Linked DNA regions of Saccharomyces cerevisiae S288C. The gene in region 3 interacts genetically with the main gene of each other region. Each region holds a gene or a part of one and is shown on either strand. Other genes may lie near its edges.

What was found.
Region 1: mutations in SND2 (region 3) and CYC8 together harm fitness more than expected from each alone (negative genetic interaction), as found in Saccharomyces cerevisiae (2 studies listed by BioGRID).
Region 2: mutations in SND2 (region 3) and MEK1 together harm fitness more than expected from each alone (negative genetic interaction), as found in Saccharomyces cerevisiae (3 studies listed by BioGRID).
Region 4: mutations in SND2 (region 3) and PNS1 together harm fitness more than expected from each alone (negative genetic interaction), as found in Saccharomyces cerevisiae (2 studies listed by BioGRID).

Annotation. Positions count from the first base shown.
Region 1 is NC_001134.8:462,370-467,515, forward strand, and holds CYC8 (transcription regulator CYC8), read right to left. Parts: upstream 3,402-5,146; coding exon 501-3,401; downstream 1-500. Other genes in the region: SUS1 (Sus1p), read left to right, coding at 1-60, 131-210; DNA repair protein RAD16, read left to right, coding at 4,879-5,146. UniProt on the Saccharomyces cerevisiae protein: Acts as a component of the CYC8-TUP1 corepressor complex which is involved in the repression of many genes in a wide variety of physiological processes including heme-regulated and catabolite repressed genes.
Region 2 is NC_001147.6:992,384-1,000,473, forward strand, and holds MEK1 (serine/threonine protein kinase MEK1), read right to left. Parts: upstream 4,129-8,090; coding exon 2,635-4,128; downstream 1-2,634. Other genes in the region: CIN1 (Cin1p), read left to right, coding at 1-450; MNE1 (Mne1p), read right to left, coding at 481-2,472; TFIIH complex subunit TFB6, read left to right, coding at 4,830-5,861; SOG2 (Sog2p), read right to left, coding at 6,070-8,090. UniProt on the Saccharomyces cerevisiae protein: Probable protein kinase required for meiotic recombination.
Region 3 is NC_001144.5:263,982-271,042, reverse strand, and holds SND2 (Snd2p), read left to right. Parts: upstream 1-4,124; coding exon 4,125-4,670; downstream 4,671-7,061. Other genes in the region: FYV7 (Fyv7p), read right to left, coding at 1-35; PET309 (Pet309p), read left to right, coding at 333-3,230; signal peptidase complex subunit SPC3, read right to left, coding at 3,320-3,874; PER33 (Per33p), read right to left, coding at 4,766-5,587; BMT6 (25S rRNA (uracil2843-N3)-methyltransferase), read right to left, coding at 5,789-6,886. UniProt on the Saccharomyces cerevisiae protein: Functions in the SND pathway, a SRP (signal recognition particle) and GET (guided entry of tail-anchored proteins) independent pathway for targeting a broad range of substrate proteins to the endoplasmic reticulum.
Region 4 is NC_001147.6:633,678-641,769, reverse strand, and holds PNS1 (Pns1p), read left to right. Parts: upstream 1-3,211; coding exon 3,212-4,831; downstream 4,832-8,092. Other genes in the region: YRR1 (Yrr1p), read left to right, coding at 1-2,210; YOR161C-C (uncharacterized protein), read left to right, coding at 2,503-2,649; mRNA transport regulator MTR10, read right to left, coding at 5,013-7,931. UniProt on the Saccharomyces cerevisiae protein: Probably involved in transport through the plasma membrane.

The DNA.
Region 1 (5,146 bases), on a different chromosome or scaffold from region 3:
ACATAAATGAATCTACGAACTTTACCCAAATTTTATCCACCGTAGAACCCAAAGCATTAGGTATGTGAATATTTTATCACTAAATTTATTGAAAAGAGAACGTTACTAACAGTGGAATTTTTTTTTCTAGAAATGGTATCGGATTCAACAAGGGAAACCGTTTTAAAGCAAATAAGGGAATTTCTTGAAGAGATTGTAGATACACAATGAAGGATACGAAAATGCACCTTAATTCCCAATATTATTACATATGCTCATCGGGAAAACCTTTTAAGCAATAATAGATTTTAAGTATGTAATGATACAAATAATAATATATTTATATACGCATATATTTACATGTGCATATATGAAAAATAACCTAATTCACGTTACCCACCTTTTTTTTTAGCCTTTTCTTTATTTATATATGTATCCACAACATAATGAATGAATTGTGAGCTACACAACATTTCTCGTTGATTATAAATTAGTAGATTAATTTTTTGAATGCAAACTTTTTAGTCGTCGTAGTTTTCATCTTCTTCCACTTGCCTTACTACATTTTCTCTTGGAAGTGTGTTCTCCTGTGGGGATTTTTCTTGAGATGTTTGCTCTTCCTCACGCATTTTGGCCTCCTCTTTCACTGTTTCCATTGTTTCCAAAGTAGGTTTGATTACAGTTATCGTTGTAGCAGCGGTTTCATCTTGTTGTTTTTCAGCATCTCTGGAAGCTGCTGGCTCCGCCTCTTCAGTAGAAGGTGCAGATGCTTCAGTTGTGCCGTTTTCCTCTTTAGAATGCTGTCTTACTTCGTCTTCTACAGGGCTTGCTTCTGCAGGAACAGTAGCAGTAGAAAGTTCTATGGTCTCAGCAGTGCTTTGGTCATTTGCTTTTGTTGTTGAACTTTCTGATGATACAGTTGGTTGGACACTAGATGACTCTGGTTCCGTATTAAGCGGTTTTGTAGAAGGAGAAACAGAAGCTGCTTTGGTAGCTTCTTCAGCAGGACTAGCTTCCTGTGGAGGTTCCTGTGCGCCAATTACTGAAGGTATTGAGTTTGCTTTTACAGGTTTTTCTTCTTGTGAAGTATTATTGGTATTAGACTCCACTACTGCTGGCGATTGGTTGCTCACCTCAGATTTTGCATTTTCTTCAATGGAAGTAGCAGTATTTACTAATTTGTTGATGTTTGAATTTGGAGAGTTCAACTTTTGCTTCTTTACCTGTGGTTCAGCGTTCGTTATTCCTGTTGCGGGAGCTTGCGTTGGAATGGCATGGGTTGGTTGACGAGGAGACTTTGTGTTATTCTCTGTGTGGGTGCTACTGGATACGGCGGCATCTACTAAAGTGTGGATTGCACCTTCCATGTATCTCTTTTGAGGTAAAACGTTCTGTTCCACGTTATGCTGGATTAAAGGTTGGGGAGCTTGGGCTTGAGGCTGGCCTTGAAGTTGTTGTGGATGTTGAACAGATTGTAGTTGTTGCTGTTGAGGTGGCAGTTGAGAGCTTTGCGGATGTTCCATAGCTTGTGTAGAAAATGGTTGCAGTTGGTGAGCTTGTATGACTGTTGGCTGTGTGATATATGGTTGCCCTTGTTGAGGATTTAACATTTGCACAGAAACTCCCTTTTGCTGCAGCTGTTGTCTTGGTAGGGGCTGTAATTGCTGCTGCTGTTGTTGTTGTTGTTGTTGTTGTTGTTGTTGTTGTTGTTGTTGTTGTTGTTGTTGTTGTTGCTGTTGTTGTTGTTGTTGTTGTGCCTGCGCCTGTGCTTGTGCTTGTGCCTGTGCTTGTGCTTGTGCTTGCGCTTGTGCATGTGCTTGTGCTTGTGCTTGTGCCTGTGCTTGCGCCTGTGCTTGTGCTTGTGCTTGCGCTTGTGCTTGTGCTTGTGCTTGAGCTTGTGCTTGTGCTTGAGCTTGTGCTTGAGCTTGAGCTTGAGCTTGAGCTTGTAATTGAGGGGAAGCTCCATTACTGTACATTGTTGCAGAAGAGTTAATAGGCGTTTGTTGAGCAGGATGCTGTTGTTGTACCATTGAAGCAGTAGCATTGGCAGATTGGGCTGAAATTCTAGTGTTCAAAGGATTTCCTTGATCATTAGGTTGTAAGGTAGGTTGTAAAATCACAGGAGGTGGGGCAGGAGAGGCATTCGTTGGCGCACCGTTCGATTTGTTTATATTGCCTGGGTTTTCTAACTGCTTTGTTAAAGCTTCTAATCTTTCTCTTATGTGAACATTATTTACGTCCAGTCTTGCAGCTTGCTTATACGCATCAAGGGCGTCAGATAATTGGTTGTTACAAGTTTCGTAAAGAGTACCTAGATCGTACCAAACTTCACTAATATAAGGATTTAATCTTATGGCTCTTGTGTACGCGTCTAAGGCGTCTCTGTATTGAGAAATTTGGTAATATAAAACACCGATTGAGCACCAAAAGATAGGGTTTCTTGAATCTCTATTAACAGCTTGTTGGAAAGCATCATATGCGGCAGTATAATCTGTTCTAATCATATGCACTCTACCGAGATGGTACCATGTAGTGGCATCGGAGGGATCTGCTTCTAACGACTTTAGAAGATAATCCAATGCCTTTTGAGGGTCATAAAATTGTACGTTACTCATACCGTAAAGACAACCTAATTGTTGTAATACTTTGGCATGATGTTGATTTTGAGCCAAGACATGCTCGTAGGCTTCCTTCGCACCTTGCCACTCTCCCATACTCTCCAAAACACTACCCAACTGAAACCATATGTCCCACTCCTGCAAGGGAGCAGGAGGTTGAGGGAGAATGTATCTGAAGCATTCCAAAGCTTGAGACCATTTACCCTGATGTTTATAAATAATACCTAGTCTGAAGTAAATTTCGTTTGCCTTTTCAAAATGAGGGTCCAATTCCAAAACTTTGGCAAAAGCTTCTTCGGCATAGTCGAGCGAACCATATCTGTCATAAAGAATGCCGATTCCATGCCATAATTTCGGTACGTTGGGATTACTGAGGTGGTAGAGAGCCTGTTGATAGGCATTGTAAGCTCTTTGCAGATCATCCAGCATCAGATAACAATGACCTAAAGTAGCCCACACATCTGATAGTTCGGGATTTACCAAAAGTGCTCTTTCATATAATTCTGCAGCTCTTTGGAACATGTCTCTGGAACGGTACAAGTGAGCCAAAGATGTTAAAGCCTTTGCAGATGAGGGATTGAACTGTAAAGTGGCGTCATATGCCATTGCGGCCCTGTCGCCATCACCAAGGGTTTCTGCCAAAGAAGCAATGGAGAGCCAAGTTTCCGCAGTTGATTGTGTTAATGGGTCGAGTGGCTGCTGAGGAACTGCTGCCTGCTGTTGCTGTTGCTGCTGTTGTTGTTGCTGTTGTTGTTGCTGTTGAGCGGGTTGTTCCATTATTGTTTGTTCACCGCCCGGATTCATTTTTCCTAATTTTTTTTTTCCAGTCGTGTTTTGTTTGTTGTTGTTGCTGTTGTAGTTGTAGTACTAGTCTAAAGGCTTATAGCAGTGAAAAAGAAAAACAGAAATATGGGAAAAGAGGTAACGGGAATACGCCTCTGGTTCAAAGACTAGTGACGTTGTCGTATTTGGCTTTGTTGATTCTAGTTCTCTCAATTGAACTCCTGACGTGGTTTGTAAAAAAACAGAGAACAGGAAACAAAAAACAAAAAGACAAAGAAAAAAATGCGCTTTTGCTTTGATAATCGGAAGGGAAAAGAACGACCGACCGAAGAAAAGAAAAATAAAATAAATTTAAACAAACCTTGTTCGAGTTGGATAGGGGAAAAACGCCAAAAAAAGATGGAGTACAGTACGCGGGAGACCAGTGGCTAGCGACGGGAGTAGCAACGATCGAGAAAGGAGTAGCGCAGAGAAAAGAAAGAAAATAGAGAGATAAAATAATTAGAGCCGATACGGCACCCGTGCGATACGAGACAGGACGGAACAGTCCGGTACGTGTGGTAAGTTTTACGAAACGAGAGGACACGGCATGACATGGCCCACGTTATAAGGCAATTTCCATTTTAGCATTGGCAAACGCACAAGCACAAAAAAGATGTGGAACAACCACTAAGAACGGAGTGTGCACGAAAAAAATAAGCTTTTCTCGTGCCCTGAGTGGTGCACAAAAGAAGAAAAGGGAAAAAAAAAGCGAACGAGGAGTGACGTGGACGCGATGAAGGTGACTCAGCCAATCCGGGTGAGCCGCACCCTTCGTCCTCAGTGACCTCTCACGTGCCCTGTATCAGCCAGCCACTGACAGTTTTGTTTTTGCCGCCCAGCTCAAAACTCAGATCGGATGTGCTTTAGTTTTTATCTTCGTTATGTGGATGTTTCATTAGCTTAAAGCATAGGATACCGAGAAACCGTAACGGTTTCATGTTGACCGGTTTTTGAGTTTATGGTTTTAAAGTTCGTCAGTTGTTCCGACGCTTAGATTTTAAGGAGCTTGTCAAAATGCCTAAACCACAATCCTTACAGCACTCAAAATCAACAAAAAGTGAGAAGGTTTGAAAGTAGTACATCCCCTCTTCCCTTTGATTTTTAGCCGCCAAAACTACCAACCCACACAGCACAAAATGTGTTACTCCTCGAAAAAATCTGTTACCCTTTTCCCGCCATGGTTGCCAGGGAAACAGTGGGGACTTCTGCGTTGCTTCTATTTTTCCCCCCTCCTTCCTCCTGCGCCTCCGTTTCTTTTTCTTCCCTTTTCATTTCCCTTTTCTTTTTTTTTTCAAGTTTCGGATTAACGCTATAAAAAAAATGCACAGATAGGACCTTAAGGACTAATAAAACCGACAGTATAACGACGTAATGCTGCGTGGTGTTTTCAAACCTTAGTAGTTTTGGTAATTTTAGATACTCTTGGCCGTATAACTGGTGTACCAACTGAAAAATCATGCAAGAAGGGGGCTTTATCCGTAGAAGGCGTACGAGAAGTACGAAAAAAAGTGTTAATTATAATGAACTAAGCGATGACGATACAGCTGTGAAAAACTCAAAAACTCTGCAGCTGAAAGGGAACAGCGAAAACGTAAATGACAGCCAAGATGAAGAATACCGTGATGATGCTACGCTCGTGAAATCACCCGACGACGATGACAAAGATTTTATCATAGACCTAACAGGTTCAGATAAAGAGCGGACCGCCACCGATGAGAATACTC
Region 2 (8,090 bases), on a different chromosome or scaffold from region 3:
GGTATGAGATTTGACACCATCAAATTCACCATTCATTGTGTAAAATTTTGGACTAGAATCATGGAATCTGGGTTGGTTGTTCTACATCCAAATTTTAATTTTCAGGGTGTTTTCGCCAAGTTCTATAACCTACATTTATTAGATTGTACGACATTGAGAGTAAGCGTGATCAAATTCTTCCCGTTCTTGGCAATATCTTGTTACCACACAATGAGAGAAAATGCTGACCAGAAGAATCTATCCAACATAATACTGAAAAGGTTGTTGGTTCTTGTGAAACGTGAATACGCCGCAACAAAATCAAAATTTATGACTGATCAAAATGTCGCTTTACAAGGTATGTTCCAGATATTTTTGGAATTAGGTGTCACCAGGCAACTCCAAGCTCTACAAGTGGCCTGCCAGAAACATGAATTGGCGAATATATTAGAGTCTGATATCACTTTATAGAATGTAAACGGCAAATTTTACATATAATCATTATTTTTGTTGCATTTGCTTAGATCTTATGTAAGAAAATAGATTTTCTACTCTCTTTGCATAGGATACATCCGCAGCAAAATTATATTCCGCATCATTTGCGGTAAATAAAGCTTCATTCCGCATTTCTTTATCTCTTTTTGCTTTAGATTTTTGGAAAATTTCTGAATCCATATGAAATAGAGTTTTTCGCTCCCCAAAAATTTTGCGCAATTCCATTATGTTTATTGGTTGAATGGTCCCTTTTTCTGACTTAAATGGTTTATTCTCAACATACCATTCGCCGACGTCATCTGTTATCTGCAAAACTCTATCGGTGTTTTCTTGTATATCAATTTCTAAGCTGGATAGCCATTCAGAAATTGCATCTCCGATTTGTATTGGCAACCTCCACGAAAACTTATCACTAAACTTATCGAAAAGAAAAAATTTGTGACTTTGTGTAACCAACAAATTATAGAAAGCAAAATAGAAAAAATCAGAATCAGAGTAGTTTTTGCAGACTTTCAACATCGAGAGAAAATCGTGGGAGGTAAATTGATAGCCGATTTCATTCAACTGGTTATACAATGCCAGTAGAGTAAGTTTGGTAGAAATATCTTGAGAGGCGCCATGAAAGAGGCAATGAAAAGTGGAATTTTCTTTGTTTCCAACTATATTATCTGTGAGTAATAATGGCTGCCATAAATTTTTTTCGTATACTATGTGCTCGACCAATGAAAGCATAAAATCGAAATCCTTGCGCACAGATAAGTGACACAGTAGCATATCAATAAAAAAAGCTCTTAAGGAATGCAGGTTGGACTCAGCCTGCATTTGGTCATCAACCTCCTTAATGTGCTTTTTCCATACTTCTAAGTTCAGAGGCAAATCACTTAATTTAAACGATAGAAATTGAAGAAATGAATCTTGCTTGAGAGGTTCGAAATTATCTTTTGATAAAATATGTATGCTCTGCTTCAAACTCACGTCAGTTGGTAATTTTTCAAGTCCGAATTGCCTAGTGACAGCGGTAGTTGATGATAATCCATTCATGGTTTCAATAACTTTGAGGCAAGAATGGTTCTGGGATAATTGTATCAAGTTGGAGGAATCATGCTGATCAAAATGAAAGTTCCATTCAGACAAGCTCCTTAAAATCTGACAAGCTTCATTCTCCATATTTTGTGCTATCATTACTTTTAGACTTTTGACTAGGCATGGACTAAATAACTCCAACAATTGAATAGCTCTTTCACGCTCCTTCGAACCTCTTAAACCAGAATCCGGTACACATGAGGATAAAATATCCAACATACTTGTCCATTGGGAGGTCTCCACATAAAATGCCAGCTGGGATAAATTGGCTAATAATTGACCCTCCGAATTTTCCGCGAACAACCGCTGTATTGCCCTTAAGTAGTAGTTCGATTGGGATTTAACAATTAAAAGAGTACAATTCCTCAAAAATTTTATGTTTGCCCGAAATTTTCCTTCTATAGTTAAAGATTTGGTTTTAAGAAAATAATAGCGATCCAATAATTGCAATGAAAATTTAGCTAGTGCAATTTTGTCATTTGCGGACCGAAGCGATAGTTTATAGAGCATATTAGATAGCTCATGATAAAATTCCAAAGGCAGCCGATCAGGTGGGAATGCATCAATCTGTCGGCCACTTTTATTTAGCCATTTTATGTGACCTGTGCCAATACGATTCAACAACGCAAAATACAAAGCAGGATTATCGGATGTACGAAGCTTCTGTAGAGTAGTCAGTACCACATTTAATCGTAAATTTACATTTTGGAGCTTATCTTCATTCAGTTTATCTTTTCTTGTTAGCGCATCCTTCAACCATTTATCAGTTATTGAGTTAGTTCTTTTGTTATTTGGTAAACGTTTATGCGATGATGGCTGTCGCCCTAGCTGTGGTAGTATTTCAGGAGTGATTAAAGAGTCCTTAATCAGCTTACCAATATGACTAGACGAATATCTTTTAAAAAGTAACTTCATATTCTTCTTGGCACACTACTATCATTTTTTCTCGCCGTTTCTAGTAGAAAAGGGCAACTTTTACTTAAAAATCATACAATTGACTTACTTTTTTTTTTTTACACAGATACCTTTTTATTTTGAACTACGCGCAGTTTGAAAGAGGAAGAGATAATCCTATGATTACTCCAAAACCTTCTTCTTTTTCGGTATTGCCTGAGAAATGATAACACTTTTGGGTAACTTCCTTTTCCAGTCTGAATTTATACTTTCTAGTTTAGGGCCTTCGTTATTGCACAATATCTTTTTGTAATATAATCTCTCTAATTGACTTAAGTGTTTTGCAATCCAAATATGTTTGAGACCTTGCTTACTATTTAATCGTTTAACTACGTCAGTTTGCAAAAGGTCTTTGACAAAACTCTTGGCATTATCTGAAACAATATCCCACTGCTTCAGTTTGAAATTCAGCTTCCCAATTTTTGCATTTTGAATAATACTCCTCTCAGAACCATCTCCATAAAAAGGCGAGATCCCTGTTAACATAATGTGTGTAATGACACCCAAAGACCAAAGATCACATTTACTGTCATAACCTCGTTGCTCTAACGTAGCTGCTCTTGAGAAGCTTTGATATGCTTTTCTGTTTGCTCTGAATCCAACTTCTGGAGCGCAGTATTCCGGAGTGCCTACGACAGTATGCATTCTTTCTTTGTTGGAATTTAAATCTTTAGCTATACCAAAGTCTGCCAAGACGATTCTAGTGCACGGTTCTGGCGTACATAACAAAATATTGTCTAGTTTCAAATCGCGGTGAACAATGTCTTGATCATGAAGGTAGTTTAAAGCTTGCAAAATTTGAAAGACGATCAATAGCGATTCAGTTTCTGACATGGAAGTTAGACAGTCGCCTTTAGCTAGGTAAGAAAACAAATCACCACCAGGGATAAGATCCTGGAATATGTAAAGGTGATTGTTCCTGTCACAGAAAGTATGGTAGACTTTGATAATATTTGGGTGATCCAGTCTCAAAAGGATTCGAGCCTCTTTATCGAATTTATTTGGTTTTAGTTTAATGATCTTCACAGCATAATTTTCAGGGTGATAACAGACATCTTCATCACGTTCTTTTGAGTTATGCGTGATCAGAACATGACCGAAAGTGCCATTACCCACTATTCTATTTGTTATTTCCCATTGGTCTACTTCCCTCAGAAAACCCATTTGATCTAAAAGTTTTGGGTCCAGAGAAGATTGTAAATCATCATTAATCATAAAAACTAGTCGTGTTTTTTTAATGTCATTTTCTTCACTTCCCTGCGATAATTCAATAACGTCGCAATGTTTTAAAAGATACGTTTTGTCCCTTTTCAAAAGCAAACCGTTCAAATACGTTCCATTAAGAGAACAATCTTTAACGTAGAACATTGGAATACTATCCTCATCAAAAAAGACACACCAAAACACGCAATGAACAGAGGAGATAGAGGGATTCGTTAGAACGAGTTGACATTCCTTATCATTTCTCCCAACTTTCACGAGCTGATGCTTTACTATAGGTATTGTCTGCTCTGTATTATAGCCGCCTACATTAACTTCCAGGTGAGCAGGAGCTACGCCACCTGCCATCTCAATATCATCTTTGGTTGCAAGGTTGCAGCTATACAACGGTCTCATTCCGCTCTTCTTCTTTCTGTTGTATATTTGGTCCTTAATAAAATTTGAAACGTACAAGAGCACTCCAGAAGGAGCTCAAGTAAAAAATTAGTCAAACCTCTCCCTTTTATACTTGAATGAATGAAATAGCCGCCGAAATTTAGCCGCCATCATTCTTCTTTTCCCCGGCTAAATTACCACGGTATGCTTTATGATTGGAAAATACCCATAAAGTAGGAATAAACTACAAATGATTCCACTTAATGAAAGATAAGCAGACAAATATACTGCATATAAGTGAAAAATAGTGAGGAGATCGCTATCAGTCAATATTGTGAAGGACCTACCTACTCTTTTTCTAGATATATATTTTTTATTTGCACAGGACCCCTCTTGCATAATTGTTCCTACTAATACGGTAGGTAGCACACAATTTTACACCACTTGCTTTACAATCATACCTCATAGGGCCTTCTTATTCTGATAATGCCCCTTTTAGAATGGCTAAACTGCTTACGTCCCGCTTTCTTACGCACTGCGCGCAACATGCAGGAAGAACAAACAACCTCGCCCTGTTTCCATAATGAAGGTCCTTGAAATAGAAGCCCCACAAAAGGGTGGAAATGTGGCAGAATAAACAGTAAGCTAACTGTTGTAGAGACTCCAAGCCCTGGTAAGGAAAGAAATATTATAAAAATAAAAGATTTCAACACAGTATTTTGATGTCTGAGCCAAACACACCATTACATGCTCAACCGAATGAGCAACTGGACTTGAACAACTTAAATGATCTAGATGAAAAAGACATTGATGATTTAAACTTGGATCCAAACTCAGATGTAGAAATTAGTGCAGACTCAGGTGATGTCGTAAATTCTAACATAGACAACGTTATATGGCAGCGTAATTGTAATAAGAAAAGAAGATATCATACACCAGAATTCAATGATGTTTACAATGAAACTAACAACACAATCAACGACGTAACTATGCTCGATGATGTTGACGATTTCCAGCCTAGAATAAACGTGTCTTCTCCCTTTTCGTCTGCCACAAAGCTGAGTGAATTATTGCCAAATGATCACAATGGAACGTCACACCCGAGAAGATTGTCAATGTCTCAACAATCCAAATTCATCTCTTACGTTGATGATCAGCTTTTACAAATTCAAAGAAAATTTGTTCAATCCAGGGGCCTGAATATCAAAAACGGCTATGCCAGTCTTACTCCGCTGCTGCAGGATTTAAAAACTTTAGTTGACTTCGTTTGGTATTCTATTGCCCATGTTCCAAACTCAGACTATTTACTTCAATCAGAAGAAAAGAGACATTGCCCAGATTCCCGAAACCCAAAAGATACATGCGGATATTCTAGTTATTTTGGTCAAGGGTCCTATTTAATAAAAATTGCGGACGATCTCATCGATTACGTTGAAAAATTTACATTCAAAAATATGGAAGACTCAGAGATTAATGACACTTTATCCAAATTATTCAAACTCTTCTTCATCCTTGACAGGATATTTGTAATTCTAACTGATGATAATGATAATTGCAAAGAAGTCCCTAAAACGTCTTCAGCCAGCAAGAACATAGCAGGATTGAATGGGACTGATATTGTGAGGTTAAAAGGTATCGCGGAACGAACAAGAGTTCGCCTACCCATATTTTTGGAATCCCAGGGTATCCATGGTTACCATTATGAATTAAGCAAGATTTACGAGGGATTTTTAGACCATGCCAATTCATTTTAACATTTACATTCAACCAGTGGCGTGTATCTTTTATACAATAAATCTGTAACTTTTAAAACTTCTGTTTCCGAACTCCTCATTTTTCATGCATAAATATATAAATATATATATATATATATATAAAGCATACATTTCAGTACCATGGGGTATATGATCCTCCCATTACGTATTCTAAAGTTCGCGTTTTCTCACAATGCAAGTTTTTATATTACTCCGGAGAGTTGGCGCTTACTGATACAGCCTTGTATGAACTCAAGTCCAATATCACAGTGACATCCTTGGTAATCTTCGCCAAGTTGGCTAGGTTAGGTCTCAGCTCATTCAAATTAGGCACGTCGCTCATTACGATTTTAGTATTAGCCAGAATTGATATTATTACTTTTAAGAACGAATTCATTATCTCCCACGTTTTCAGCTTCTCCAAAGATGTCAGATACTTCTCTGAATTTGAATCGTTCGGTATTAATACATTTAACCTTTCATTCAATTGTTTGGATAAATCCATCGCTTGACGACATGTTTCCGTCAAATCACGAATTTTAGGTGCTAGCGAGTCCGTCAAAATTTGCTTTCCCATGGTGCTAGCAATGGCTATCTTGGATATCTCTGAAGTTAACTGGTTATATACAACGCTCACCATTTTAACTACTGTGGACAACGTTTGATACAGTTGAATGTCAATATTTGTCTCCACTACATTAGCACTACTGTTCGCGGCACCACCACCATTCATCGGTGGTGGGGTTATATTAACATTCGAGACGTTATTACTATTTGATGCGTTAATTATTGAAGAAGTCATAACCGGATGCTGTTTAGGTTCATGCGCCTGTGACTCTTTTTTCGAATCGCTGATGGATTTATTGTGCTGAAGCAGCTGTTGCCTTGGAATAGTATCGCTAGTAGTTTTTACTTCATTCATGTTCGTTTGAGAACTTCCATTGCTTATTGCATTTTGGTGTCCCAAAATTGGACCATGGGTGTGTGCACCATTTAGATTTGGTGATAAAAGAGGAACAGCAGTGGTATCACCCGTCAGAATATTACTATTTGAAAGCAATGCAGATGCAGATGGTGTTCTTGTGCTCCTTGTTTTCGGCAGTAATTTTATGTTTCCGCTACAATGTGTACTGGTCGTACTTGCTGCGGGTCCTCCACCGCTTGTGATACTACTGGACGATGTCTCGTGCCTCGAAAAAGAATGTTTCTTGGGTGCCTTACTTGCAGAACCGGACACTTGATCATCTTCTTTGATAAAAGACCATGCATTATACATTTCCATATAAGCACACATTAATGTCATATAAAACATCCTTATGAAGCATAGATCGTCTTCTTTGAAAAAAATCTCAAAATTTTTTCTCAACAATGTTATAATTTGTTTAAAATTTGTGATGATAGTGAGGCACAGCTTGATTAACGCCTGATCATGCGATTCGTCTTCGTTCTCTGTTTGCTGCAAGACCTCCACCAGATTATCAGTATGTGATCTGACAGAGTATAATAATGATACTACATTAACCGCTACGGCCTTCTCTTTACAGAAAGAGGCGATTTTTCTGATAGCTTGTTGGCATTCTGTAAAACTAAATAGGAGCTTCCGACAGGAAACAACCAACTCTGCATGCGATATTTTTTGATGCCCGTTACTCATTGACTCTTCTGGTAAAATCGACAACCTCTTGAAGTAGTCATTATATTTGGTGTGATTGTATAGTTCCGTACCATTCACTGCCCCACTTTGTTCTGATTCTGCATTGACTGTACCACTGAAAGATGTTGCAGAGGTTTGATTAGATGAGACCATTGCAGTAGATGCACTTATAGTTGTATTTGCACTTGGGGCAAGTGAAATTATATTGTTTTCATTCATTGCTCCATTAGACAAGTTCGTATTTATGAATCCCATTCTTTTCGCTGCTCTAGATATTTTAGGTTCTGGAGTAGGTAGGTTAGGATGATCTTTTAGATATCGTGATATCGCAATTGCCCAATATTCTTCTTTGGGGATGCCCGTATGAAATGGAGTATAACTCTGTACTTGGTCAAGCTCTTCTTTGGGTATTTTATTATCCTCTAAATCCAAGATGCTCAGCTTGTTTAATTTTGTGATCGATTTCAAATTACGTATGCTAGTAACGTTGTTGTCTTTCAATGATAATACACGAATATTATCTTGCCAAAACGATGATATTTCATCTGGCAATGCTTCAATCTCATTGGAGGACA
Region 3 (7,061 bases):
TTCTTTCTATTTTGATTTTGCTTGGCTGTACCCATATTGATTTTGCTCAGTTGCTTACTTGACCACCTTCCTGTATCATTCTTGTGAAAGCACTTTTAATACTATCGCGATGAGGTTTGATTTTGAAATTTTTCATTGTTTGAAGGAAAAGTAACTTTTCGGGCCAATAGAGAAATAAAAATAAAAAATCATGTAGTGTAAGTTAAAGTGGGATTTCTAGGTGACGCTAACGCAGCCTCGATACCCAGGAAAGAGGCCGCAATAGTGTACAAAGCTTCGAATTTAAGTGATTAAGGGTGTTGGAGTATACTGAAACACGCTTTTTGGCCATTATGAAAAGGTGTGCTCCTGCCGTATTAAGAAATTATAATTATAAGAAGGGTATATGGAGTACCGGCGTACCTGATCATATAAGGAAGCTGCTTCGAGATAAATCGACGTCACCATTATGCTCACAGGATGAGAGAAACCTGGTCTCATATTTTATGGCGCGCGGAAGTGTTCCTCTAAAGTCGGTTGGCAGTGGATTAACAAAGAAAGCAACAACATCAATAACAAGTAATTCAGCTACCACAACATTTGAACGACAGTACCTTATAAAGTATCTTTATCGGCACCAGGCCTATGGGAACGTTATAAAAATTGCACAGAAGTTTCTTTATACCACTATTGGTTCACAAAGATTGTTAAAACAGGATGCCTCATTACCTGAATTGAAAAAGTTCCTTCTCTCTTTATTGATTTTACAAAGAGGTATTCAATTAGATCAGGCAATCTCTGATATCATACAACGGTTTCTATTAACACAAAAGACAATGGTGATAGACCTCATTAACTCGATTTTCTCTAGGATGGTTATAATGAATATGCATGAAGAAGCTGTATATAAATGGGTCAAATGGATGAAACTAGTGAATGGACATTGTGAATTTACGAATTATATGGAGAACAAGATAGTTTTGAGAAACTTTTTATCATTCATGAGGCAATCAAATGTTCGCCCCGATTATTTATCTTATTTGAAAGCAATTCAGCTAACGCAAGGGCCCGCAATAGCGTCTCAATTTGCAACTACGTTGTTGTTCTTATTAACTTATATTAGGAAATTTTCTTCTGCAGAAGCAGTTTGGAATTACAAGTGCGAACATAACCTGCCGATAGTGAGTTCTGACCTGACGTGTATTCTAAAGACGTATTGTCACATGCAGAAGTTTAATTTGGTTTCGTCAACATATTGGAAATACCCTGATGCTCAGCACGACCAAAACCAATTTGATTATCTTTTGGTGGCTCATTCTAGGCTGCATAATTGGGACGCCTTACAACAACAGTTCAATGCTCTTTTCGGTATCGGTAAGCTACCTTCCATACAACATTATGGTATTTTGATGTATACTATGGCCAGAATTGGTGAATTGGATAGTGTCAATAAACTATATACACAGTTATTGAGGAGAGGTATGATACCGACATACGCTGTTTTACAATCTTTACTATATGCACATTATAAAGTCGGAGATTTCGCAGCCTGTTTTAGCCACTTCGAACTATTCAAGAAATACGACATAACGCCTTCAACAGCAACGCATACCATAATGCTTAAAGTGTATCGTGGTTTAAATGACCTTGATGGTGCGTTTAGGATATTAAAAAGACTAAGCGAGGATCCTAGCGTGGAAATCACGGAGGGGCACTTTGCTTTATTGATACAAATGTGTTGCAAAACTACGAACCATTTAATCGCTCAAGAATTATTCAACCTTATGACTGAACATTATAATATCCAACACACTGGAAAAAGTATCTCTGCATTGATGGATGTATATATTGAGAGTAACAGGCCAACAGAGGCAATAGCATTATTTGAAAAACATTCAAAGAATTTATCTTGGAGAGATGGTCTAATTTCAGTGTATAACAAAGCCATCAAAGCTTATATTGGTTTACGAAATGCCAACAAGTGTGAAGAACTTTTCGACAAGATCACAACCTCAAAACTGGCTGTAAACAGTGAATTTTACAAGATGATGATAAAATTTTTAGTTACACTGAACGAAGATTGCGAAACGGCATTGAGCATCATAGATCAACTAATAAAACATTCTGTAATCAAGGTGGACGCTACACATTTTGAAATAATAATGGAGGCATATGACAAAGAGGGTTATCGTGACGGTATAATTAACTTGTACAAGACAATGTCACAGAATAAGGTACCAGCGAATTCCAAAATTTTATATTATATATTGAAGGCCGTTGCCAAAAAAAGCCTACAAAATAATGAGGAAATCAAGGAAACGATTAATATGGTAGAAGACATCATGGAAAATGCTGCCAATGGAACTCTCGACGTTACGTATAACAAACTGCATCCCTCGGTCATGGCATGGCCAATGAGAATGATTGTGAAACATGATAGCCCACAGCGGGCTTTAGAGTTATACAACCGGTACAATGAGCTTTTCTTCAAAAAGCATGATTGGATATCAAATAATAATAAATTTGTGATGATGAGATCATTGTTGGTATTACTAGCTCAAATTGAACAATGGAAAGATTTCGAAACACTTTTCGCTAAATACATGGATCGTATTGAAAACATTGAAAACTTGCCATCATCTACAACGCCAAATATTAAACTAAGAAGCATATTCAGCGGATTGTTCCCTTATAAAGTAAGTCAGTTGATTGCAATGAATAAAATCGATGAGCTGCCATTACTGTGGAAGAAATTGCGAGAAAAAGGTTTTATTTTAGATAATATATCGTGGAACAGCGCTGTAGAAGCGTTATTTAAGGATCCAAGAACCCTTTCGTATGGTATGAAAATCGTTGATGACACACTAATTCATGGGTATAATTTGATCCATAAATTTAGACTATTAACGAAACTATCCGAGGATAAGACGCAGTCCAGTGATAAATCTTGGCCAACATTAAAAATGAAGGAAAAAGAGCCCAATAAATTTCAGCCCAGACTATACTTAAAAAGCGATACATATAACAGTATAATGAGGCAGTTAGACACATATTTGGACGGTATTGATGATTTAAAAACTTTAGAAGATCAGGTACGTGACTTCATATCAAATTACAAGTATTTTATGAAAGATTACTTATTAATGCCAAGAAGCAAGATCAATAAATGGGAACAGATTGAAATGAGACATCTTTCATATTTTAAAGAACTGAGGAAATCTAAGAGAGTATTACCTGTGAGTAAATTCTAGAAATGCATATATCATATTGTATAATCAACTGCATATATATCAAAAAATCATGTAAATAATTAACAAAAATTGAGAGAGCAAAGACTAGTCTAAACTTTGTTTTTATTTTCCACGGTCAGTGTATAGTTGCCTACAGTTTCACCGTAAGTTAGCAAACCTACCCATGGTTGAACATTCCAGTGTAACTTGAAAACCAAATCCTTGCCTTCGAATTTTCCATCTTCAATATCCCAGATAGAATACTTGGATCTTAGATCGTTCACATCAATCACAGCATCATCCTTGCTTTTTATGATCTTATCCCAAAATGTTACCTCACTTGTTATTTTTTCAGTACTGTTATACTCAGCAGTTAGATAGACAAAAACTTGCTTTGTATTCCAATTGAATAGGGGAGTGAGATCTGTATTTAGATCAAATTTAATTTTCATATTTTCCTTTGCCTTGCCTCTCTGTGAGCCAAAATATCTACTTGTTCTAACATTTATTAAAGTTTTGACGTTATCGATATTACTAGGTACTGAGAACGCGTTATTATTGATTAATTGATAGTATGAGGATGCCATGATGAATACAACCATTACAATTCCCATTGAAAAGGCCTGGTTCGATACATTCTGGAATCTTTGGACAAAGGAGAACATTGTTCTGGAGAAGTGCGGCAATGCTAGCTAGCTTTGTGGGTCTTTGTCTCAGTGGAACTTAATAGGCTTAACAATCAACTTTTTTCTCCACGTCTACCGACTGTCATGAAATTAGTCGACCTTCGTTCTGCGCCTTTGAAATGAAAAATTTCAACGTAATTAAAAAAAGATAATAGATGAAAAAAAGGTAGTATTCACGTGTGGCTTCAAGAAGACACCAAAGGCAGTGGTCTAAGTTTGTGTTGGTAGAATGGCTGGCAAAGCAGGGAGGAAACAGGCTAGTTCAAATGCAAAAATAATTCAGGGCTTATACAAGCAAGTCTCTTTGTTTTTAGGAATGGCTATCGTACGTCTATTCATTTCACGTAAGGTTACAATTGGCCAATGGATTAAGCTGGTGGCTTTGAACGTTCCTATGTTCGTTGCTCTGTATATCATTGTGCTATCCGGTAAGCCCAAATATGATGGCAATCGCGTAGTAAAACAAGGTATAGACTTGAACGACAATACAAATTTGATATCATATTTTTTTGATTTGATATATCTATCACTTTTTGGTAACATTGGTATTATAGCTTTCAGGACATTCAAATTTTGGTGGTGTCTACTATTGTGCCCCATCTATGCTGGTTACAAGTTATATGGCCTCAAAAACATGTTCATGCCTGGCGCTCAACAAACTCAGGCAGATAATCGCTCAAAAAATGCTAATGAGGGACAATCCAAATCCAAAAGGCAGATGAAAAGGGAGAGGAGGGGTGAAACTGACTCTAAAATTAAGTACAAGTATCGTTAAACAAAGCTTTTCAAACGTTTTTGAAATTTTTTGCTTTCTATAGAGGAGTGTGAGTATATACAAAATAATATTTAGATATACTTAAAATGAGCATGCTACACAGGTATCTTCCAAAACACTGTCATAACGAAATTCTTATAGCCGTTCCATAAACGGGAACAATATGGGGGCAAAGTACGGCTGACATATGCATCCAACCTAAGGACATATTGTTTAAATATCTGCCTCATAGATTCACTTTGTAGGTACCTTAATTTGAAAAACCATACATAGGTTAGTCCTGCCAACATTGTACCCACTACCTCAAACGACACGTTTGCTCTTCTTACCAACAACAAGAAAAAATTGAAGGGCACTAAGAAGAGGCCCACACGTAGGCCGCAGATAATCTCAAATACTTGCGCCATCTGTAAGAAAAATCCATTGTAGTTTTGGATGAATACCGTTATTTTGGAGTTCAACAAATTTTTCAAATTAAGTGGTATCAAAGGCAAAAATGGCAAAAGGTTTTCCTTAAAATAGTTCAGGAAGTGAAAGATTGAAAAGATAACGGGACTGTATAACGAGCCGCTGATTATGATGTTAAACTGTGATAAGAGAAAAAGTATGAATAGCATGGCAAAATACTGCAAATTATCCAATTTCTTCATCTCTTGGCGCAAAAGCGTAAAATTGAACTTTAACTGGTCACTTTTGAAAAACTGGTAAAGAACGATGGCATATGTAACGGATATGTAAAATAATGATCTTCTATAGCATGACAATTGGTTTTGTTTGGACGTGATTGAAAGATGAAATTGTATAAAGTTAAAGATGGTTAAAAAATGGCCTATAAACCAATAAAACTGGGGTTGTTTTATTCTTGATTTGATAATGGTGCCAAATGGTGCCATGGGACGATTCCTGGGAACGGTCATATTGTTTTGTGCTAATTTTTTTTTACAATTATTCGAAATGAGTCTTGTTTGATCGTGGCCCCTTCTTTATTTCTGATTCCAAATCGAATTTTCAACTCTCTTATTAATATTTTTTCGGTGTGGATGAGAAGAAAAAAAATTTTTCTAAACTCTTCGAGAAAAGAACAATGAAAAGAGAACAGTAAAACGTCATAAAGCCTGTTAGTTCTTGACATAAAGACGGTAAAAGAATCGCATGTTTTCCAATGGAATCGAGTAGTCGAGTTTTGGGTCCATTCTATACCAAATACTGTCGTTCTCGGATACTAGTGACCATGGACCTGTCGTTCCCTTGTCCTTTCTATTGCCTACTAAGATAGTATCGATAAGAAATTGGATTGGGAACTTCTTGTTGTTGATGGTAATGTGAGAATAGCTTCCTGCACTCTCTAGTATGAGAAGATGGCAGCCTGGGGCACAGTTCTCGTTTAACCGTTGCAGAAATTTTATACTCTCCACTTTTTTCTGTGTAAATAGTTCATTTGTAGTAAAAAGTAGAGTTATTAGGTCGAGGCCTTGATATATCTTGATATCTTGTGGCTCTGTCATTTGTAGGCAGTCCTTGTGGGTAAAGTTGACGTTAAATGACTCTGCTTCTGAATCACCATATAGCCATTTCGACTTTATTGTAGCTGTTAGCTTTTCAACAACTGTGGACCAGTCGGCGATATCTACTAGTTGTATGTTTAAATTTCTAGGCTTTTTGTTTACTTCGTTGTCTATTTTCAAAGCAGAGGCAAATTTAGACGAAAAATCTCTCGATAAAGTGAATATGCTCGCTAATGCAACCAGCTCACCACCAGCGCCGCCACCTATGCAGAGCACATTTGAGTCCTTGTCATCAATTTCGCATCTGATAATCTTTAGAAGCTCAGGGAAATGTGCAAATACTGATGCGTAACTTGTTGCTCTGGACGGTGACCAACGACAACAATATGCTATTCTTTTCGAGTCGTTATTGAAAGCAGCATTGTAATCTCTGTTATAAAGGTCAGATTTTACCGCCTGTATTTGTTCAGTTAACGGTGACTTTTCATTGTCTTGATCTTTTGGATATAGCTCTTCTAAGAATGTTATTTTAAAAAGATCGATTATTTCCTGTGGTGGAAGCGTTGATTTATTGTGAACGGGCAATTGGGCCACTTTTTTAGGATTCATGTTAATTGGAAACTGAGAAGAGTAATGATATTGTGAATAAATTGGTATATATTTAAAATATACTGAAGAAGTTAAAAAGGCAAAGCGTCTCATAAGCAACATCAAAAACGTGCAAAAAGAGACCCTGCGATGAGATGTACTCTAATTCAGAAAGAGAAAAAAAAAAAAAAAAAAAAAAAAAATAAAAATGCACTAAGGGCCCAATGGATTTCTTTTTTTGATATTGAATCATTCATTAAACATATTTATTAGGTTTAGAAGATTTTAATTATACAAA
Region 4 (8,092 bases), on a different chromosome or scaffold from region 3:
TTTCTAGAAACTTAACAACCTGTCAATATGCTGAAGAATTCAACAAAAACATCGAAAAGAAAGCTACCTATGGTCCCTATCCTAACGCCGATTTACTTAAGAAAGTTGAAGAACTAGAAAACAAAATACGTATTCTAGAAGCTGAAAAAAACACTAATTCGTCTGCGAGCTCCATGTACACTTCGCCAAATTTCCCTCCTTTAGGCACTAGTGTAGGTAGAGGTTCTACTGAAACTTCATCTCCATTACCCGATGGTGTAATAAATCCATATGCCGACCGGTACTACCTACAAAGTAAACATTCCGGAAGATCAACACTATACGGCCCCACTTCTATGAGAACCCAAATTGCAAATAGTAATTGGGGGTTCATTGAAAAATATAAACAATTATGGGCGAAGGTTAAAGTAGAAAGAAATAAATGGAAGCAAAACAACCAAAAAACGATGTGCAGGGAACTAGGCCTTTTGGATGAGTCGGATTGGCAGCCAGATCCATTAATCAAACAGATATGTCGTTTCCTACCATCATATAACAAAGCTTTGTCTATTTTAGATGATTTCTTTAATGATGGAGCATGCAATGAGATCAACGTGATTCTTGATAAGGCAAAAGTTAGAAGAGACTTTTTAGATTATTTCATGCCCGAAAAAGAGGTAAAGGCGGAAGGTGACAGATCCATAGTTTATATTTTATCCAATCCAAAGAAAAATTATTACAAAGCTGCTGTGATACTATTAATCCTATGTCTGAAATACTTCCATACAGATGTCCCAACCCCAATTGAGAAGTTCTTTACTTTACTAAAGGGGGCCTCCACCGCTAAGGTGTTCTACATTGAGCGTGCACAAATGTTAATACTTTTCTACTACCATCGTGAAACATATTCATTCGGTGGAGATGGCTCCGATTTGGTTAATATAAATGAATGTTTAGTTACTACGGTTACTACAATAGGGTTGCATTTAAACATTAGAGAAACTTTCAAGGAACATGAGGTTTTTATGGGTAGCATCGAAAGTTTAGAAAATGTCTGGTTAATGGCAATATTTATCGATTATAACATATCTTGTAACGTTGGTAGACCCTTATTGATTAACAAATTTTATCTAGACGAAAACCAAGATCATTGCATATTGAATAGTAAAAGTAAAACATATGAGGGGAAGCTGAAAAGATATTTAAAACTTACAAGGCCAATGTTGTTAACTCTTTATGATAGAGATAAATTCCCGGATTTGAAAGCTTATTCCAAGCGAATTATCAATTTTGTAGAAGAAGAACTTGGTCCACTTGGACATTACACAGGTGAAAATATATCGGAAGAAGTTCCATTAAGGGAAAGTAGAATTTTAAGTATGGCAGTCGGACTATTATTGTCGTTTTATGCACTAATACATTCTGTGCTGAAAGTCAGAAACATAGAATCCAAAAATAATACGTTTCAATTGGTTTTGATCAATTTTTCCATCATTGTGAATACCACAATTCGATGCTATCGTATCGACAAAGCACTTTACCCAGAGAAATTCGAAGCCTCCAACCCGCACTTACCGCCACATATGGCGTTATCAATGAGCCTCACGGCAGGGCTTTTTTCCAAAACATTGGTGTTTTTTTGTTCTCTGATCTACTTTAAGTTGACGCTTTTCGAAAATGGACTATGTCTATCCAACGATATGGAAGTTGGATGGTCGGATTTGACGAAATTGACTGTTCCTTTAGACAAGGATCTATCTTTAGGTACAGCAATGAGCTTGTACTCGTCAATCTTCGATCGCTTGTTCACGGTCGGAAATAAAGAATTAATACGCACAATGCATAGATCATCACAATTTGTGATAGAGCTAGCTATTGAAAGGACCTATAGGACTATTCTTGGCAACGTTATTGAATTCAGAAAGTTGACCGAGGAAACATGGCTAGCACAAATCAAACAAGAACTAGATCCGCAGAGCGATAATCCATCATCAGAAGCTAAAATTGTGAGTGATAGGCAGCGGGATCTCAGCCTTGCAGTTCCAACGCCCACGCCCTCAATAATTCCAATGTTACCCTCGCCTGGTGAAACTAAGAACCATGCAAAGAGTCAATCAGAGATCATTCAGATGCTGACAGATGAATTTTGGGCAAATTATAACTCAGGCTGGGAAGAGTTGATTAATCAATCTGAATTTTCCACTCTTTTCGATGATTACAAAGACAATTAATGCTAAGTCGAGGCAATCTCGCGGCGCGACTACTTTGAAGCCTTTTTTTAGTTCTTTTTTATGATCAAAATGTTTATATAATTACCCAGATTATCAACCCACTTCGATGATGGGCCGCACCTGACAGAAAAAAATGAATCAACTGGCTACTAAAGATGGTACAAAAGTTCACTTTATTCAGATATAGAATTGCTGAATCGCTGCTTACCGCCATACGCTTGACTACTTTTACACCCGTACACCACACATACAACCGTACGACTACTTTTCATGCAACAGCGTGCGTTTCGACATGTCTTACACACGAGTAGATCATCCCACTGGAAAAATGGCTTGTCACCTGAGGCAGATTTTGGCAAGCCCACTGTTTTTCGCAAATTATGTACTACATGCAGCCATTCACTACCCTTCGAGCGACATACGCGGCGACATCCTGTAGAGCAATGTTGTCCTTACCAAGACGTCTTGATGAAGGATAAGCATACGCGAAGAGATTTCCTCTCGGAGAGCCTGCAGGGAGCGGCGCACCTCGCCAGCGGAGTTATCACACGTAATGGTACTGAGTGAGAGACCCCGCCCGACACCGCACGGCCATTTGCAGAAAGAAAAACAAAGTCCACTACGGCTAATTACTGCAGAATGCTTTTTTTTCTTTTTTTTTGTGGTTGGTATGTTCCCTTCTAACAGGATTCTTCCTTCGGTAGATCCTTGAGGGGTTTAAGGGGTTTTCTGTTTGCGTAATGGCGTAATTGCCAGCTATATATAACATTATCATCACATATATATCCTTATACGTAGCTTGCCCTTATATATATATTGATATGCGGATATTCGTTGAATGTAGTTCAGTCGTAATCGCTACTTATTGGTAATCATAGCAATTGAATGCTTCTATATTCCTTTCTTACTTTTTTTAATTGCGCATTATAAAAAACTTGAAGGTGCATATTTCCGATTAGGGCCATCAATAGTGACCATAATTATCGGTACATTAATACGTCATGCCATTGAATGAAAAATACGAGAGGCCTCCGCAACCTCCTCCAGCATATGATCCCAACCATAGGCCGCCCAGTTCTTCCGAGAACTCTGCCGCGGCGAATGTCAACGATGGCCAGACGCCGTACCATTTTAGACAGGATCAATATTACAATCTAAATTCCAAAACGAGTGGGGCTCCTATAGGGAGCTTCGACGAGGCCTTTCCTACTGAAAATGACAACAAGCCCAGGTGGAACGATTGGCCATTTACCATTTTTTTCCTATGCACGGTAGGCGGATTCATCGCCATTGCTGCCATAACCTTAAGAGCGTGGTCCCAAACCTATAGCAGTACGGGTTCCGGAATATACGATGGTGTGAATACTGGTACGCTGAACACCAATGCTGCCATCCTGCTAGTTTTCGTGTGCATTATTGCCCTAGTATTCTCCGTTTTGGGCCTCACACTTTGTCGAATTTTTCCGAAGCAGTTTATATATTGCGGTATGGTCATCAACCTAGTGGCTTCTCTTGGGACTGCCATCATGTACATGTCTTTGAGGTACTGGTCTGCAGGTATTGTGTTTTTAGTCTTCACGTTCATGACCGCGTGGTGCTACTGGGGTATGAGGTCTAGAATTCCCCTTTCTGTGGCGGTATTGAAAGTCGTCGTCGATGCCATGAAGAAATGCCCACAGATCTTCTTTGTTTCATTTGTTGGAGCGCTAGTTGCTAGTGCGTTTGGGTTTCTCTTCTCAGCAGTCATTGTGGCTACGTACATAAAGTACGATCCTAATAGCTCGAATGGCGGCTGTGACGTTTCTGGTGGCAGCTGTTCGCATTCCAAATTGATTGGTGTTTTGGTTGTGGTTTTTTTCTGCGGCTATTATATCTCTGAAGTAATAAGAAACGTCATACATTGTGTTATTTCTGGCGTCTTTGGCAGCTGGTATTATATGTCAAAGTCTGACCAAGGAATGCCAAGGTGGCCCGCATTTGGAGCATTGAAGAGAGCCATGACTTACTCGTTCGGTTCCATTTGCTTTGGGTCCTTGCTAGTCGCTTTGATCGACCTGTTGAGACAAATATTGCAAATGATCAGACACGATGTTACCTCCAGCGGTGGCGGTCAAATTGCCATCCAGATTTTGTTTATGGTGTTTGACTGGATTATCGGCTTTCTGAAGTGGCTCGCCGAGTATTTCAATCATTATGCATACTCGTTCATCGCTCTTTATGGTAAACCGTATTTAAGAGCGGCCAAAGAAACCTGGTATATGTTAAGAGAAAAGGGAATGGACGCCCTAATCAATGATAATTTAATTAACATTGCACTGGGTCTATTTTCAATGTTTGCTAGTTATATGACCGCTTTGTTCACGTTCTTGTATCTAAGGTTTACCTCGCCTCAATACAATTCGAACGGCGCTTACAACGGCGCCCTAATGGCATTCTCATTTGTTATTGCTTTACAGATTTGCAACATTGCAACAGAAGCCATTAGATCCGGTACTGCAACTTTCTTTGTTGCTCTTGGTAATGACCCGGAGGTCTTCCATCATTCTTACCCTCATAGGTTTGATGAGATTTTTAGGGCATATCCTGATGTACTCAGAAAATTGAGTCACCAGAATGTGTGAAGAGATGTTTATCATATGTCACTATTTCTCCTTGTTCTTCTTAACAATTCTATATTTAATTACAATATTTTAATACTTAATTTTTTCTACTTCAATTACCTTTAAGTTCTATCTTTATTAAATTGTTTATTTTGTTTTTATACATTCTGTGCAGATTAACAATATGCTATTTATTAAATGACTATTCAAACCTCGAATTGATATTCTTTCTTGAATACCATCCAACAAACGCCCTAATTCCTTCCCTCACCTTTCTGTAATCCTTTGAATTCAACCCCTCAACCACGGCCTTCGCCAAATTATCTCTTTCATTAAGGGTTACTTGGCCAAGTTGTTCCACCACTTTGTAAATCCAATCGATGCAAATAGTGGCATCGTTGTTGTTTGCCTCTGTCAATATCCTTAAACATTTTACAATACAACTGATGGCATCTGAATGAGCGGTGTTTTCAAAAGTAGTAACCAGCCCGATGAATAACACTAATATCAATTGGTTACCGTGGGCTATCACGACTTCGTTAATAACTTGCTTCCTCCATTCATCTGGAACAATCTCGATGGACACTGTTGAGATCGGTGGAGTCTTGAACCCCCAGGATATGATATCATCTAAGCAACGCAAGATACATATGTAAGCATCGTAGTTATCAAGCTTATTAACACACTCGAGGGCAACATTCAGTACGGGGCCTAGAAGCTCTGTTGAATTCAAAAATGCGCCAGGATAAAACATTATCAAGTCTGAAATTAATGAGAAAAAATCGATTATTGCCTCATGATAATCGTTTAATTGAAGTTTATCAAACTTGTTGAAATTCAGTATGAACGTCTCGCATTGGGAGAGGGCAAATTTCCAGACAGCATCTTTCAGACTCGGGGATATGGGGAATGATTCATCGTCACCAAATATAACAATAAGGGAACCAGAACACCACAGATAGGAACCGAATCCAGTCGTTAAATAACCTTGGATTAGAAATTCGGCAACAGAAGGTAATATTGGCTCGCAAAATACATGAAATCTCTCAAAAATTCTGCGTAGCAATTTAGCTACTCTTTCTACGATAATACTATCAGTCATTGCACCTGCATCAACTAGCAGAGTTCTTAATGCCTTCCAAATAAATTCTATCCTGGGGAGTAAAGGTTCCGATCCTTGCTGAGGATAATTGTATCTCGGTTTCAATTCTTCAAAAAGCGCATATAGCAAATCAATCTTATCAGCAATCTGTGGAGCCAAGAGCGTTGGATTTGCTTTCCATTGAGGAATCAAAGCCTCGATTTGTCGCAAATTATCATCTACGAGCTTTTGAAATATTACTGAAACTTTGGCCTCTGGCTGATTATTTATTACTGCACTTAATCCTTGACATAGTTCAAATTGTGACTCAATATCAATCGAACTCTGCACGTTGAGGAAGAAATTAATCAACTGATCAATATACCCAACTAATAGTTTAGAGCAGTCCGAACAGAAGAACATTAATGCATGTGATGATGCAGTGATTATACTTTGCATATCCGATGAACCCTCATGCAGTTGAAAACCGTTAAAAATATATTGCAATTGAACTTCTAGTAGTTCTGGATGCTTGGCTGTCCATTCGGTATATCTACCAAGAACTAATGTTGATGCATACCTAATCTTGGCCTGCTCTGGAAGGTTACAAATGATTTTAATGATTTCTGGCAATATAGTGTTTTCAGTCAACGAAATTTCTTTAGCCATAGTCCTCAGGGAAAATAATGGGGCTTCCATTATTTGCCAGCTATTGTTGTTTTCTATTGCGGACTTAATTCTTATTAGTGGTTGCGATAAAGCCTCAGAAGTTCCCACCACTGCAGTACAGTCTTTTAACACATCGCCCATATGATACCTGAAATCTTTAAATTTATCTTCTTCCTCTTTAGATGAAAACTGGCCTGATGGATATTGTAAATGAGTAATTATACCATTTATTAATTTAACAAAAATATCAGAGTAAGCTTTTCTTGATTCTTGATATCTTGGCAAAACTAAACTTTGTTTGAAGTTAAACCAAAAGGGGAAAGTATAGGAAACGACATCTAAGTCTTCATTTTTGCAGGTCAACATCAATAATACCAAAACCATTGGTTTAAAAAAATCGGGGTTTTTAGAAATGACAACTGACCAAGCCTCGCCAGCTTCTACGAATAATCGTGTCATACCTTCTAGGAGATCGTCATCATATTCATCGTTCAAAGGATGGTCTGTGAACAGAGTAGGCAATAGTTTTTCTTGTAAAAGCATTAACTGATGAAATAAAGCAGAAATCAACTGCTCATTAGTAGTATCTCTGCTTTCTCTGAGGATAACGCAGAGACAATCAATAGCGGAATCGAATGCCTCCATGTCACTTTCATTACCATTGGAAATAGTTTCAAACACGAGATTTATTAAGGGTTGTACGGTTAGCAACTGTTCAACAGGGAATTCATACGACCAAGAGTTCAAACACCGTAAAATTTGTTCTAATGAAATAGATGAGCTGGAATTCCCGTCTGTATTTTGTAATAGGTCTATGCATGATACAAGGAATTTCAATACATCTTCTGCTATCGGATCAATTAGTTCATGAATTCTGGAATTGAATTCCACTTCTGTCAAGGAAGTAGATGCAATGTCTAAGGTTTCCTCAGGTAAAATTCTTAAAAAGTTTAATAATATAGATGGTGAAGAATTCAACAATGAAATGATCTCGAAAATTGGATTCTGCCATTCTAAAAATTGGATCGCCAAACGTGCTAACGCGACATTCAGTTGTGTAATAATCAATTTTTGGTTATGCGATAATAAAAGCGTCAACAAAGAATCCTTGAATTGTGGTAGATTATTTTCTAATTGTGATAGATCATATGTGACTTTATTCCTTAAAGTTTGCGCAGCAAAAATATTTAATTCTAGAAGAGCGTTTGTAGGATCTTCTTTAGACAATATTTCATTGCAAATAGACCAGGCAACAGTTGATCTTTGGAATTGTTCTAAAAATTGAAGCGCTTTGTTTTTATCATCTTGAGATGCAGTAGACGATATGCATTGTAAAGCAGTTTCTATATCAGATACCTGTAAGTTGTCCATAACGCAAGTTAATCCTTAGTATATCCTCAATAAATCCTTGATACTGATCTGTCAACGAGTATTTTCATGCCTTTTTCCTTCATTTATTTTTTTGTCAATATCCCTTATGTTCGAAAATTTTTTTCAATTATACCGAAAGCCTGAGCATCTAACAGAGAAAT